Notamacropus eugenii: one gene and its partner. The protein of the gene in region 1 binds, or shares a complex with, the protein of each later gene. Links are inferred from orthologs where the notes say so. Each region holds a gene or a part of one and is shown on either strand. Other genes may lie near its edges.

Evidence for each region. The genes of interacting proteins can lie anywhere in the genome.
Region 2: the proteins of CALCR (region 1) and RAMP2 are in contact, whole or in part, in a cryo-EM structure (PDB 7TYX), measured with the Homo sapiens proteins. The link is inferred for Notamacropus eugenii from reciprocal best matches to the Homo sapiens genes CALCR and RAMP2. Residues at the interface, in NP_001158210.1 of Homo sapiens: Arg45, Lys46, Met48, Met49, Asp50, Gln52, Tyr53, Lys54, Tyr56, Asp57, Met59, Gln60, Trp76, Gly78, Arg126, Phe235, Leu238, Ile242, Thr246, Val250, Glu255, Lys256, Gln257, Arg258, Trp261, Tyr262, Leu264, Leu265, Phe269, Pro273; in NP_005845.2 of Homo sapiens: Trp86, Tyr93, Ser94, Arg97, Asp98, Glu101, Leu109, Pro112, Glu117, Ile120, Phe121, His124, Phe128, Cys131, Pro136, Phe138, Ser139, Asp140, Pro141, Leu146, Met149, Ile150, Pro153, Ile154, Leu156, Ile157, Leu160, Ile161, Leu163, Val164.

What each region holds. Positions count from the first base shown.
Region 1 is NC_092874.1:489,278,849-489,286,640, forward strand, and holds the start of CALCR (calcitonin receptor), read right to left. Parts: upstream 3,039-7,792; 5' UTR 2,948-3,038; intron 1-2,947. UniProt on the Homo sapiens protein: G protein-coupled receptor activated by ligand peptides amylin (IAPP), calcitonin (CT/CALCA) and calcitonin gene-related peptide type 1 (CGRP1/CALCA).
Region 2 is NC_092873.1:359,293,124-359,300,075, reverse strand, and holds RAMP2 (receptor activity-modifying protein 2), read right to left. Parts: upstream 2,849-6,952; 5' UTR 2,714-2,848; coding exon of another isoform or gene 2,617-2,713; 5' UTR 2,524-2,616; coding exon 2,409-2,523; intron 1,805-2,408; coding exon 1,733-1,804; intron 1,371-1,732; coding exon 1,253-1,370; intron 1,039-1,252; coding exon 780-1,038; 3' UTR 544-779; downstream 1-543. UniProt on the Homo sapiens protein: Accessory protein that interacts with and modulates the function of G-protein coupled receptors including calcitonin gene-related peptide type 1 receptor (CALCRL) and calcitonin receptor (CALCR). Required for the transport of CALCRL to the plasma membrane.

The DNA.
Region 1 (7,792 bases):
AATTGTCATGAGTAAGACTTGCATAGTATCCCTTCTGTATCACTCAATTTTGAAACTAAATCTTGGAGGCCAGAGATTGGCAGGTGCTGTAAAGCCCCAAGAGAATGGAGGTGAGTGCTATTCTGCTCTTAGAACAGCAGCTGCTGTGACCACAGCCTGTGCCTGATGTTAGCTCCAGGTCACCACCCAAGGTTACAGATCAAGTGGCTTCGATGATCATGAAACAGTCACATAAACTGATCACGGAGTCCTATAAAAGCTTTGTTTTTGTAAGTACCCCTGAGGTCTGGCTGGGCTTCTTCTCAAAAGGGAGAGGGTTCAGGGATTTGAGCAGATGCCTTGGACATGGGAGAGGCATTTCAGAACAGACTTCCTAAGCCCCACTTGGCAAAAACATTTCAAAGCCACTGTCTCCATTTGGGAAATTTTTTTTCCTTCCTGTTGGTTAGAAGCTTTCTGGTCTCCAGGCAGTGAGAGAGAAGATGAAAGCCCCACTCTCCTCTTTAGAGTAAAGCTCAGAGAGGCGGGGCTGTAGATGGGAAGGGGATGAATGACAAAGATGGATGAATTTGCTTTGGCTTTTAGATCAAGCTCTTTCCTGGCCTAGGAGCCCATGGCTAGCACTTCTAGAAGCTCTGCAGACTGGAGGACTCTTCAGGCTAGGTCGCATCTCAACAAAATGAGTTCGGGTTTAGAAGGGAGTGGGGGATCACCAGGCCTGAGGGAAGCCAGGGCTGGTGTCTTTGGGGCTGCTATCCTGCTTTTCAGCTGGGGCTACAAATCCTGAAAAAAGGAAGACTGCTTCGATTGGCTCATTTCTTGCTTGTCTGCAGGAGAGCCAGGAGGGGAAGGAATCTCCCTCCTAGCTTTCTGATGCAATGGCAAATGGGTGGCAGGAAGGGTGACTTGGGTGACCAGCATGCTACCTTGACCAATAGCCATTCTGGCAGCACTTTCCAGATAATAGCATTTCTCCACTGGAGAAAATCATACTTAAAATGAACTTCAGGTTTAAGGCATGAAACCAAAGCAAGCCTGCCTGTGAGGGCCCCGGCAACACTTAAGAGTTTGGGCACAGACACTTCGGACATTTTGAAAATCTAATGATCTTGTCCTAATTTCATAATGCAGTTACATAAGCGTGTCATTTGCATATTTTAACATTGGTCTTCTTCCTGAGCTAGGGTCATTGGAAAGCCCTGTCTGTTTGGGAAGTTTGTGGGTATTGGGCAAGAACAGAGAGCCACTTTTATGTCCTATGTCCTTAGCATGTAGAATAGGGCAGGCAACTAGATGCACATGTCTCCCAGAGTCAACCTTTTCAGGCTCCCTTCCCTTCCCAGGTCTTTTGGTGATTTCCACAATCACTCTGAGAGTACCTGGAGACTCACAGCCCTTGGGGCCCCTCTAGCCTGCCTAGGGAGTTACTGGGTTCTGGGGCTCCCTCCTTAACACAGCCCATCCTGGGTTCTCCAGTGTCCCTAGTTCAATCTCTCTCTCTCTCTCTCTCTCTCTCTCTCTCTCTCTCTCTCTCTCTCTTTTTCCCTCATTCCCTCCCTGCCTTCCTCCCCCTCTCACCATAGCAGCCATGACTCTTTTGCTATCACCATCAGACTGAATCTCTCTAGGCCAAAGGCCACCTCAGGAAGAACGTTATTGCGTAGGACCAGATCTTAGCGGTTCCAACCCATTCCATCGCATCCTATCCCTTCCCAACCCATTAGGACCTGTCTGGTCGTCCCATCCTGTCACATCCCATCCCTCCATAGAGAAAAACCTTCAGGAAAAAGACTGAAGGTCTCCCAGACTCTCACAGGACAGGAGAATTCGAGGCTGGGCAACCGACCAGGGTGGGCCTTTAGCAGCACCACCATACTGTAATTACAGCTGGTTGAGCCCCATTCCCACACCCGGGCCAGGCCAGCCTATGGCGGCAAGCGGGGAGGGGGCGGAGGGCTTGTCTTGCTCTCTGGGACCTGTCTAGAATAAGGCGCCCAGCTTGAGCTCTGTCCACCTCTCTGAAGTTAAAAGAAGTCATCTGGTAACTTTGACGTCTATAAAACATCTGGGGGAGAGGAGCAGCTGTGGTAGGAGCGGCCAGGCCCTTCTGCTCTGGGTAGGAGGGACCCAGGGACAGCGCTGCCCACTCACTGCCCAAGAGTTCTCTCTCTTTTGTCGTTCTGCCTAGTTTACAGCCGAGTAAACCGAGGCACCCAGAAGAGAGAGATCACTTAGCCACCAAGTAGCTGGGGCCGGATTTACACCCAGAACTCCTGACTGCAAGAGCTGCGTTCTCGGGCTGCAGCCGCCGCCAAAAGCCATCTTCGTAAGAGAATATGCCCAACCGCTGCTCGAATTGCGACCAGACCGGGAACCCTGAGTCAACCTCCCTCCAAGGCTCGGAGGGTATCCATCTTCCCTCGGCAGTGCAGCCCCTGGTCGGCTCCAGGTCCTGTCCAACCCTTCCAGTGCCAGGCGATTCCCAGCTCTGTGCACACCCCAGAGCCACCAGCGCCCGCGCACACCCAGGTATACACATACACGCGCACTCTGCTGGCGGCAGAGGCGCCCACCAAGCTGCGTGTGCTACGAGACACGCGGCCCGGTCCTCTGCGCCACCCTCCCGCTGCCACACCATAAGATCCTGGGGCGCCCGGGTGTGGGACAGAACTGGGCAAGCCAGGCGCGTCAGAGATGGTTGAGTTAGGTTAGAAGCTCGCGCCCAGTCCCTGGGCTCTGCCTCCCTGCCATCTCCCCTACACCCTCCAGGGCTCCGGGGAAGGGGGCGCTCGGGCGCAAAGCACAGGTGGGTGCCTGCTTATCTCCGCAAACGTCCGCAGCTCCTTCCCTCCGGGCCGCCCACCTAGGAGCTTCGGGTTCCCCACTTCTCCTGCTCTCCGGATACCCCCCCACCAGGATGCAGGAGGCCAAACTTGTGGGCACTTACCCGGTGGCCGCTTCCTGAGCCCCTCCGCGGATCTAGCTCTGCTCCTCGCCGTTCTCTCTGGTCCCCTCCTGGGGTCCTGGCTCGGTCTTCAGGCCCGCCACAGATCACCCCCCCGCCCCGAGGTGGGGCCCCCACTGCGCTCGGGCAGAGCAGCGCAGCTCAAGCCGCCGTCTTCACTCCCAGGGAGCGGGGGGCTAGGGGGGCATCGCCTCCCTCGAGGCTGAGCTCTCGGACGTCAGTCCTCTTGTCGATACGTCAGTCAGTCCCGGGCACAGCGGTCGCCTCTCAGAGTCAGGTCCGGGTCCGAGTCCGAGAGCAGGAGCGCCCCCGGTACGCTGGCGGGAGCTCCGGCGGTAGGCTCTGCGCGCAGGCTGAGGGGAAGCTCGCTGCTTAGCCAGCCCAGGCAGGGGGAGAGCTGCCCCGGAGGCTTCGGTCGCTCAGCCCTGGAGGAAGGCGGAGAGTTAGGGCAGCTTCTTCCCCGCCCCCTGCCCCCAGCCCTCTGGGCTTAGACCCGACTGTGGCCACGACTGAGCGTCTTAGCTGCCGGAGTGGTCCTAGGAGCTTCCAGGTAACGCGCGCCCTCCTCCCCCTCCCCCACTCTTCCTCCCTCCCCTGTCTTCCTCTTCTTCTTCCTTCTCCACCCGCTTCACTCCTCGCGCTCCCCCCCACCCCCCATTGCTCCTCCTCCCTCCTCTTTTTTCCCTTCCCCTCCCAGGTCCAGGGACGCAAGCTGGGTGGGTGAGGATGGAAAGTGTGCGTGTCTAGCGAGTGCGTGCGGGTGTGTATGTGTATGTCTGGGGGACAGCCTACCCGGAGATGGAAAGCAGGAATGGAGGTGAGTGTGGATAAGAGGGAGAACACGTCTCGGGAGGGGAACTTGGAGTCCAAAGGAGAATAGAGACAGAGAAAGGGCTGGAGGAGCTGGGGAGCTGGGGGGGTTGAGGGATCTGGGGGAGCAGCTGAACCCCGCCAGTCTGCCTCATGGAGATGGATGCTGTGGTGGATACATGCCAGGCCTTACTTCGGGTATGAAGGAGCAGAGTTGCCCCTACTTTGGAGGGAAGGGGTGCTCAGCAGTGTCTCCCAACCTCACTGCCAACCTCGTCCCAGAAGGGCATTCCTCACGGTACGGGTAACCTCCTGCAAAGGACAAGGCTTCTCAGACACAGCCCTGACTGGGGCAGGATGGGGAAGAAGGGCTGAGCAGGGCTGGGCAGGGCTGGGCTGGGCAGGGCAGGGCTGGGCAGGGCTGGGCTGGGACTAGTTTGGTTTGGGCAGGGTGGGCAGTTGTCCTAGTTGGGGCTGGAGCTTGGAAGTGGCAGATGAATTTCCTGCTAATGGGTTTCTTGCTAATGTCCATGCTAGTGCCTGGGCCAATGGTTTTTACGAAGGGGATTTGTTCTGTGAAGCTTAGATTCAATCAAAGGGTTGCACTTGAGGACCTGAAGGGCCACATGTGACCTGGAGATCAAAGCTTTCCTATCCCTTGACCAGATCTGGGGGAGGGACAATCTGGCTGGGGACGGGGATAAGGGAGTTTTGTCTGAGAACATCTGCCTGGAGCCTCTTCCCCCCATTCCAGGGAGCCTGACATTGCAGTCACAGCAGGTACGCAGCTAGGGAGAAAGGGAGTAACAGCTGTAGATAGTATCAATGTGAAGGGCCTTTGTCCACTGGCCAAAGCGGAGATCCACTGGGAACCTGGGATACCCTTGGCAGCAGCCCATGCTCCTCTCACTTTCCCCTGTGGGAGTATGGGGAGGAGAAAGAGACTTTGAATATCCCCATGAAGTCCTGTAGCCCTGCAGGACTCAGGGTCAGGCATTGTAACTTCCTCTGGGAAAAGGGGCATCCTTTGATTTTGTCTCCTCTATCCACTCCTCTGCAGCTCCAGGGATTTGCCAGTGTACTTCCAAGTGCTCAAGGGATCTCCAAGGTAGGTTACCCTCTGCTCTATCCAGGCTCTGGGACCCCAGGCCAAGTTCCTTCGTACATGGGTCCTGACCAAATCCTGTACTTCTGGGCCAACCCTGAGGTACTCACCCACTAGCCTACCTGGAAGGATGTCAGCAAGTGCTGAGTTAAGGATCTTCCCAGGTAGCTGGAGGTCTACTTCCTGATGCAACAGTGGAAGCTTCAAAAAGTCTCTGTGCCCTTAGAGAAACTCCTAGAAGGAGAATCCAGGAATCATGTTCTCACTCCATTTACTTCTCAAACCCTGAAATCTGGCAGCCTAGTGGAGTAGATGCAATGCTGGTCCTGAAGTTAGGAAGACCTGAATTCTAATCTGATCTCAATACCTTACTACCTCTGCAGACATATGGATCCTTCAGTTTATTATTAACAAGCCTGAAATTAGGGGACCCTCTGTCTGGATGTTGGGAGTCTGTGAACCTTCTTCTCTTCTGTCTCTGTCTCTCTCTGTGTCTCTATATATCTCTCTGTCTGCCCTACCTCAATCCTTCATTCTTCCTTGGCACTCACTCTGTGCTCCAACCAATGTTTACACGTCTTGTCAGTTCCGCACCCCACACATTCTTCTCCCAGTCCATGTCCTCAGCACCCCTTGAGGTCTTCTAATCAGTCTCCAATCCATCCTCAGCACACCTGCTAACAACTTCCTAAAGCTCAAGGGAGACCAGAGGACCTCACTTGTTCAAGTAACTTCAGAGATCCCCCCCTGCCTCTTCTATGAAATAACTCCCCACCCCTCAGTTTGGCTTCACCACCTGGCTCCAACATCTGTTTCCAATGATTTCACATCCCCCCCCCCCCCTTCACTCGCTCCATGTTCCTCCTGGAGACCCGTTTGTTAGTCTCCATATGTGACATTCCAACTACTGCCTTTCGCCTCTCACAGGTTGTTCCCCATGCTTAGATTTCTCTCACTCTTTACTTCTGTTCATGTGCAGAGGTGCACTGATCTCCCCCTCCCCCAAACCAGAGACCTTTTTAGTACCAGAGACAGCACTAGTGCTCTTAACATAGGGATGAGCACTGTCTAAGGTCCTTTCTGGATCAGAAATGTTGTGCTACTTGGAAATACTGCCTTTTTTCATGAAGCCTGCCCCGCTCACACCCTGCTCACACCCTGAACCCTAACCCTGAGAGGGGTGTCTCTGTACTTCTCTGCGCACTTCTAATGGCTCTGATTTGTCCTACTCCACTGTTCAGTCATTTGAGTGCTTGTCCCTCCCCACCTCTGCCCCACTCCCCATATCTCATGCCACATGAGGGCAGGGGCTTCCTTTTACTCTCTTGTGGTCCCTGAGGTTTCTAGTAGAGGTCCCAGTACATAGTAAGCTTTCAATAACCATTGTTTATTTTGAACTCAAAGATGCATCTAGATGTTAATTAGATAGAGATCTGAGTCTGTGTGTGACTATTCACATCCTGTCCTATGCCTGACACCTTCTATTCTTACATTCTCCCTTCTTCCTCCCTCCTCTCTCCCAGCCTCTAACTCTGAGTCTTCATTAAGTGAAAGGAAGAAAGGAAGGTGAGCAAGAAGGCAGTCAGCTCTCACTTTGACACTTGGAGACTGTTATATCATGACTTTATCCAAAGCCTAAAATGAGCCCTTCATGGATAGAGTCAGGTTAACATCCTTAATTCACTCAACAAGCATTTATTAAATGCTTCCTCTGTGCCAGGAACTGAGTTCCGCAGCTTCAAAGGCAAACTTCAAATAATATCTGCCCTCCAAGAGCTTCTATTCTTAGGGGGAGGGGGAAACAGTATGAATTAGCACATACAATCTGCAGGAAAGCATTAGCATGGGGTGCAGCAGGACATACAGTAGGAAGTGGGGCTTGAGCTTAGCTTGAAGGGAATCTAGTTGTTCTGGAAGGTAGATGTGAGGAGGGAGGACATTCCTGGCATGAGGAACATGCTGGGCAAGGAAAGGCATGGAGATGGGATGATGTGTGGGCAGAAGTGAGTGGACCAGTTTGACTAGATAGGGGGTGGGGAACCTTCAGCCTTGAGGCCACATGTGGCTTTCTAGGTCCTCAGGTGCAGCCTTTTGACTGAGCCCAAGTTTTACAGAACAAATTCTTTTATGAAGGGGATTTGTTCTGTGAAGTTTGCATTCAGTCAAAGGGCCACACTCGAGGACCTAGAGGGCCACATGTGGTCTTGAGACCACATGCTCCCCATCCCTGGACTAGACGACAGCCTGTGTCTGAAGACTCATCTGACACTGGAACAGGTTCTAGTGGGGATTCCTTTTGGGCCCAGGGTGGCCACTGAGGTCCTTTCCAAGTCTCCAATCTGTGATTCTGTGAATCAGCCTGGAAAAGTAAGCTGGAGTCAGCCTGGGAGGAAGAAGTCCCTATAATGAAGTAGACCTCAGATCTTCTCCATGATCTGAGATGCCTTCTTTCTCCCAGGCCTTATTTTTTTTAAATAAGGTTTGATACTAGGATCTGATAAGGTTTGATACCTGAGTAGTTCAGAGAGGTTACACAAAATACAGAATTCCATTGGTTGATAAACTTTGCTTTAAGGGCCCAAAATGAAGATGGATAAGGGAGGAGTCATCTCTGGTGACCAAATGGTAATAAGATGGTCACCTGCTCATGTTGGGCAAGAAAGTGTGGTCTGGAGGTACAAAAATAAGTTGGAGGACTTTCCATATAATTGAGTCGCCTCTGCCATGTTCACTTGGTCACTGTAATAAGGAAAAACAAGGGTGGGGGTTCTCCAGTCAACTTTCTATAATTAAGCAAGTGAACTTACAATCTTCAGTTCACAGGTCTGGGGCCTAATGCTCAGAATATACTATCCCCACTGCTCTGAAATCACATCAAACTGATTCATGCTGACTGGAATAGAGTAGGGGTC
Region 2 (6,952 bases), on another chromosome or scaffold:
CATCCACCTTTGAGTGTCCTTGATTTGCATGGACACCAGAGGGCAGCACATGGCCAGGCTGCAGTTTGGTGTCTAGAACTGTAGATAACACTTCTGTCTTAGAGGGAGAGGGGAGAACAGGGACCAGGAGGGACCTCAGTGTGACTGGGAGAGAGCCTCTGTTACATACTGCTGTCTGTCCTGGACCTCTTTGGATGAATCTCCTTGGAGTCCTCTTAGAATGTCTAGCCCTTCAGGCCCTACAAAGGGAACTAAGGCCAGGAAAGTAAGGATATTATATTTCCCCCTCCCTGCACCCCCTCCCCCCATCATATCTTCCTATCCAGGGCGGATGGGAGTTGTTTCCTGAATGTTTCCTGGAGCTGGGTTAGGAGCAGTGTCAGGAAGGGCCCTACCCTCAGAGGAAGGAGCAGGAATGGAGGAAAAGATCAGGAAAGCTTTTATGAGAGGGAGTGTGGACTCCATCTGGTTCCTTCCATCCTTGCGACTTGAAGCCCAGGGATCATGCCATAAACAAAGACTCTGAGAGATAAGACACATGACTTTATGGAGAACTTCTATGGGGAAAACCCAACAATTGGTTTATTTGTTATGGTAATTCTAGAGCCCATGTTCCCATCTGTCTTTCCCTTTCTGCCCCCATTTCCCCCAGAAGTTCAGACTGAGCTTCCCCAAGGGGTTATTGAGGGCAGGGTGGGGTAGGGGTGATGGAATAGAGTCCCAGGGAGGAGAGGAACTGGAAATTAGACTGAGATATTTTGATGAGGGGTAGGGATGTTTTATGTCTGGACCTCACTGTCCTTACTCCGCCATACCACCAGGGTAACAAGGAAAGGGATAAGGCAGATGGGAGCAATGATCAGTGCGAGCAGCACCTCCTCTGGGGGGTCAAAGAAGAGGGGCCGACGCTCTAATGAGCAGTTGGCAAAGTACATCTGGTGGCTCTGGAAGATGATCTGCTCAGCCCAGGGATTGGGGAAACCCAGTTTGAAAAATTCTGCCAGTTTCTCCAGGCAGTATTGTAAGTTGCTGTATGGCCTGTGGGGGTGGGGGAAAGGGTAAAATGAGAATCAGAATGAGGGAGGACTGGGGAAAGGCCATCTCCTGTACCCCAGACCCAGGGCCCTGCCTTCATTTGTACTTCATTCTTCAAGATAATCCCCAGCCCTTCGAAGTAGGTTCCCACCCATTAGGTTCTGGTCTATTACCCCAGGCCCATGGCCTAGTTCCCAGCCCAGCCTCTGCCTCCTACCTGCTGATCATGTCCCATTCACACCAGTCCTCTCTGCTGATGTTTCCCATGTGTTCCTCATAGTCCGACCAGCATTGTCTGGCTGTTAGTTCATAGTTCTGCTCAGAGGTCACCTCCACTATAGGCACAAATGCAAAAGGTCCTTCACACCTGTGTGCCTTGGTGCCTTTCCACTCTTACAACTCTGAACATCTTCCCCACCAAAGGTATCTCTCCTCCTCCTTCCAAATCCTGAGATTCCATGGAAGCCCTGGATACTCTCAAACTCCTTAATCAACTAAGGAGCTTAAAATAGCAAAAGACATAGAGGGAGAAAAGGAAACAAAGGGGAAGGGCAATAATTGTGTTTACCAGGGCAGGGGACAGGGAGCAGCCAGATAGAGAGAACAATGTAGGTATATAGGGAATGCCCCGGGGAAGCATTGCCAGGAATTGGACCCTTCTTTTAATGCCACTTTTCTTCAGTCATTGGACACTCACCATTTTGCCATTTAGAGGGTTCCGTGATATCAGGGACTGTCTGAGCTTCAGAGCCTCGGGCATTTAGGGTAACTGTGGGAAGAAGAAGCTATGAACTGAAGTGAGACAGCAAGTCCTGGGGATCAACCTCAGTCCAGTGCTGCAAGGGTAATGCAGAAAGGATGGGAGCAAGGATTAAGGAGAAGGGAAAGGAGAAAGGATGGCCAGGGACAGCCTTTCAAGAATCCATGCATGGGTTGGCAAAAGTGATGTGTTTGGAGTCAGAAGGCCCAGGTGCTTTGGAGTCCCAGAGCAAGGAAGATTTGGATATCTCGATCAAGCTTCATGGCAATGATCAAGTCACCCAATCCCTCACAATCTCTGTTTTCCATTTTTTGTAAAATCGGGGCAGTAACACTTAACTACCTTCCTGACAAGGGCTGCTTCAAGACCGGTGCTCTGCAAACTGCTATGTCAATGTAAGCTCTCCTGACTTAGCTGCTGGTAAGACTAAGTTAGTCTGGCTTGGGACTTACTAGGGCAAAGGGGACTACTGAGTCTTTCATGCATAGGTTTTTCCAAGCTCCCGGAAGGAACTGGTTGGGACAGGCCCCTGCTAGAAAGAAAAGTCAGGCCACAGCTTCCTTGAACCCGTACTCCTCCCCCACAAAGTTCTTCCTTTCCTCCTCATCCTTACCCTTTTCCCCACAGTGCTCGGACCTTCCTCGAGAGGGTGTAGGGTGGAGGGCTTCAAGACACATGGTGCGCCAAATTCGGAGCCACCTCTCTCTCAGTAGCCCTAACTCCTCCATCCCGGTCCTTCACACCCGTCCTTCCTCCTGCCCCTCTCCTCAGCCCCTCTTTCTGGCTCCCTTTCCCCAGGCCCCGGGAAGCATCTCACTCACAACAGAGCAGGAGGAGGAGCCAGAGGGGGCTTCGAAGTCTGGCTGGGGTCGCAGGGAGATGAGGAGAGCCAGAACAGCCGGTTCCGATTGAGACCATGGTGCAGCCGAAGCAGAGAGGCAGCTGGCGGACCCAGAGCCAGGGCCAGGGCGGGGGGCTGGACGCCTATATCCCCGGCCCTAGCCGCAGGAAGCGGCGCCGTTTCCTCCGAGGGGCTGGGGCAGCAGTGGACACGTGGGGGGCGGGGGACGCCCCGGACCGGACGGCTAGAGGGGGAGTCAGCTTCCCCTCCCCACCCGGTGGCCTCTTCTTCTCTTCCTGCCCCGCCAAAACTTTGACTCTCCTCCCCTTCAAAGCGAGGCGCCCCGACTCGCTGGACAGCTCCCCCTCGAAGCCTGGAAACTAAGCAGTTTGCAGTTCTCTGAGAGAGGACCCTTGAACTCTCTAATCGTGCAATCCTAGATTCCCGAACTCCCTGTTCTTCTCCCTTTAGTCGCCCCGTTTCCTCCTTGGAAGTGGGGGAACTCAAGTTGCTTTAGGGGGTCTAAGAACAGGGAATTTAGTTTAGTTGAGCTGGAAGTTTGGGGGCTCAGGCTGAGGTCGCTGGCCTCACTGAACTAATGTATGGATTTGGGGACTGCAGCAGACTGGGGTGGAGAATAGGAACTGGGAACGAGCTAGGGGCTGCCTGGAGCTGGGCCTTGGGCCGGGTAACTCAGAATTTCTTTTCCAGGGGAACACCCTCTGATGTCAGCCCAGTCTAACTCGAGAGGAGGAGGGGAGGGAAAGGGGCCTCTTTGGGCGGGGAAAGGGCCTGGGCAAGGGGGGACTGGAGCCTTGTTATCCTCCCTTCAGGGTCGCTGGCTCTTAGGAGGATAAGCAGTGGGTTAGTGGATAGGAAGGTGAGAGCTCCTATGGGAATTAGCGTTGGGTCCTAAGAGCATCAAAGAAAGGAATATGAATGGATTCTCATGATGGTGTCCAGAACCCAGCATGACAGATAGGGGCAGATAGAACAAATTCTCAAAATTCTGTGGAGTTAAAACCTGGAGGGAATGGAATAAGGTTAGAGGTGCTGACTCAACCTGAATAATGACAGTCACAGTCAACATCATCTCCCCTGAAACTGACCCTAAATTGTTCCTATTGCCTCCACAAGTTTCCTGATTTCGCCCCTACTAAACAACTTCAAATATCTAAGTATCCCCTTACCTCAATATATGCCTTGGGTAAGCCTAGATTCCCTGCTCAGCTCTACTAAATCTTTAACTACTGGATGTAGTTGTCTAGGATATGGACTAGAATTAGATTTGGGGCTGTGGGTTGTTATCATAATAGGGTTGAAGTGAAAGTTTAAGGTTAAATCACCTTCATTATCATGGTTCAGGTAGTTTGCACATCTGGGACCAAAAGAGGTGACTTGGACAGCTAAGGGTCTAAATGTCTGCTCTCAGACTTGGAGGTCTACTTAGTGGGGAAAGAGTTGGTAATTTTCCCTCTTCTAGTCTCTTTCCCCCATGTCTCTCTCCCTTCCATCCGGGTTCCACTTATACTTGCTGCTGGAAATACTCAGATGGATGTGGCCATGGTTTGAGGTTTGAGGACAAAGGGATTCACTTTATACATTCAGGTCTTATATTATTACCAACGTTATAACCATAATCAAAAAGAGGAGGAAAATAATGTTACACTAATTTAAAAACTTGTTTCTGACAGGCTTGTACTTAAATATAAGGATGCAGTATTAATAATTTGGGGACAGGCCATAGCCTACTTTTTTGATGTGGGAATGACTTGACTGACTAAATCAATCCACAGCCACCCTTCTATATGCATAAGGATTAGTCTGGCAGTAGTGTTAAGGGTTAGAGAAAGAGAAAAGGATGAATTGGAGGTGAAAAGTCTGTTTAGGTGGTTATTTCAGTAACATTAGTGAGAGATAAAGACCTGCACTAGGCTAACTATATCCCTGGAGGATTTAAATAACAAAGGATTTGCAGTAGCTGACCTAGTCCAGCCATCTCTCAAAGAATCACTTCAGGTTCAGAGGGAATTACTCCTTTGGAGGGGGAAATAATTTTTCCCTCTCTCTCATTTCCCTTCCACCCCTCACCCCCCATCCCCATTGACCATGTCATTGGAGAGAAGAGAAGAGACAAGGCATCCAGCCAAGAGCAGGGAGAAACAAACCAGGGATAAACATGGACATAGAGAGATGTTGAAGGATAGCTACCCAAGGAAGGAAACAATTACAAGGAGCCAGATCCCTTGTTCTAGAAAATAATGCTGACTATGGAATCCAGTACCCAGGTGATATGAATTTACCCCTTTGTCCCATGTGTATCCTGCCCATTTCCCTCACAACCAGTCTACTCTTCCCCTGGATTCTTTACACTTGTAAGAGAGTGTAGCCCAGGTTTCTTGTACCAAATGTTCTTATTAAACTACCTTGGTAATTGCCCTTTACAAAAAGCTAATTAAGTCAGCCTGATAATCAATGAGAAGAACATTAGAGTGGTCTCATCCATCATAGTATTAGAAATCTAGTCCTTCAGTGTTCCTTACTGAATCTCCCCCTTTAGGAACCCATTCTTTCAATTCCAAAAGAAGTTGGAAAAGAAGCCCCAGAGGCTCTGGGCACTGAAAAGGAGGAGCAGATTAAAGGAAAAAGATAGCCTAGTTTTAGAAGTGTTGAATATGAGTTAAAAGTGGGACATTTTGGTAGAGACTATTAGGCAGTTGGAAATACAGGTCTGGAACTTAGAAGAGAGTTTTTTAGAGCTAGTTTTTTAGAGGCTGAGAGTCATCAACACAGAGGTAATAGTTAAAGCTTATCCTCTTTAAGCACATTGAAGTGTGGCTTCTGAAAGGGTTGAGGAATGGTTGATATGGTGTTTTTGCCTGACAACTCTACCATGAGCAAAACAGAAGTCTGAATACATTTTTCAATCTGCCCAATGTCTTTGTTAATGTCAATCATGAGGGTGTGTGGAAAATCAAGGCAAATTTTAGTTGCCCAGAGAAGTTCATTAGTATCGTACCCCAATTCCATGATGGCATGCTTTCATGAGTTCTGGACAATGGATGATGCTCTCTGACTGGCCTAATTGCCGTGGGCTGCCCGGGTCCTCTTACTTATATCAGGTCTTTGGTGGCCAGCCAGATAAACATATGAGAGAAGAGACCTCCAGAGTCAAACAGGGGTGTAGGCTTTATTCCGGATACAAGCTACATGTCAGCATGCAGGGCTAGTGCTCCCCACGGGAGCCCCCTTCTCCCTCCCGAGGAGCAAGGAAGAACAACAACAACCCCCTCTCAGGCTTTCCTATCCCCATTTAAGCTCTCCCTGCTGCATAGTTCGCTCATGGACACTGTGCATGCTCTCAGCCCCTTAGCTAATTAACAAAAGGTGTGCTCAGAACACGGACCAATCTCAAGGGTAGGATGCTCTCCCCAGCAAGTTTCCACTGAGAAGAGGTGGAAAACGAGATAGCTCGTGTCTCACTCCTCAATTCCCAGCTGTTCTCTGGGGGGCCTCATACCTGACCCGAGACCGTTCACATGAGAACTGAGCTTACCTTAACAGCTCTCAAACTTTCCCAGTCACCAAAAGAGTGAAACAAAGCTTTATGCCTGCTCCCATACTTTTCAGCATGATATTTTCAGCAGTGTTCTCAGATGCCTTCAGAGAGGACAAAAATGGCATCAAGGTCAGTGACCACACTGAGGGTAAATTATTTAACTTGAAAAGGCTACACACCAAGACTAAAATGGAGAGTTGGTGCATGACTTTTTGCTTGCACATGATTGTGCACTCAGTGTAGCTTCTGAGACTGAGATGAAGCAGAATATGGATTGATTCTCTGCTGCTTGTGCTAATTTTGGTCTGACAGTTAACACCAAGAAGATACACCATCCAGCACCCCTCTACACCATCCATTCATGGAACCATCAGTTATAGCAAATGGAGACATTTTGAATGATGTGGATAAGTTCACTTACCGTGGTAGTACACTTTACAAGAATATGCACAAAGATGATGCACACATCGCCAGACATAGTTCAGTGTTTGGGTGACTGAAGGAAAATGTGAGAGAGAAGAGGTATTAGGCTGCCTACCAAACTGAAAGTCTACAGAACTGTTATGCTGACTCCATTGTACTATGCCTGTAAAACCTGGGCAATATACCAATGTCATGCCAGGAAACCAAATCACTTCTATTTGAATTGTCTTAGGAAGATTCTGAAGATCACCCGATAAGATAAGGTACTGGACACTGAGGTCCTTTCAAGAGCTGAATTGCCAAGCATTCAAACTCTACTACAGAGAGTGCAACT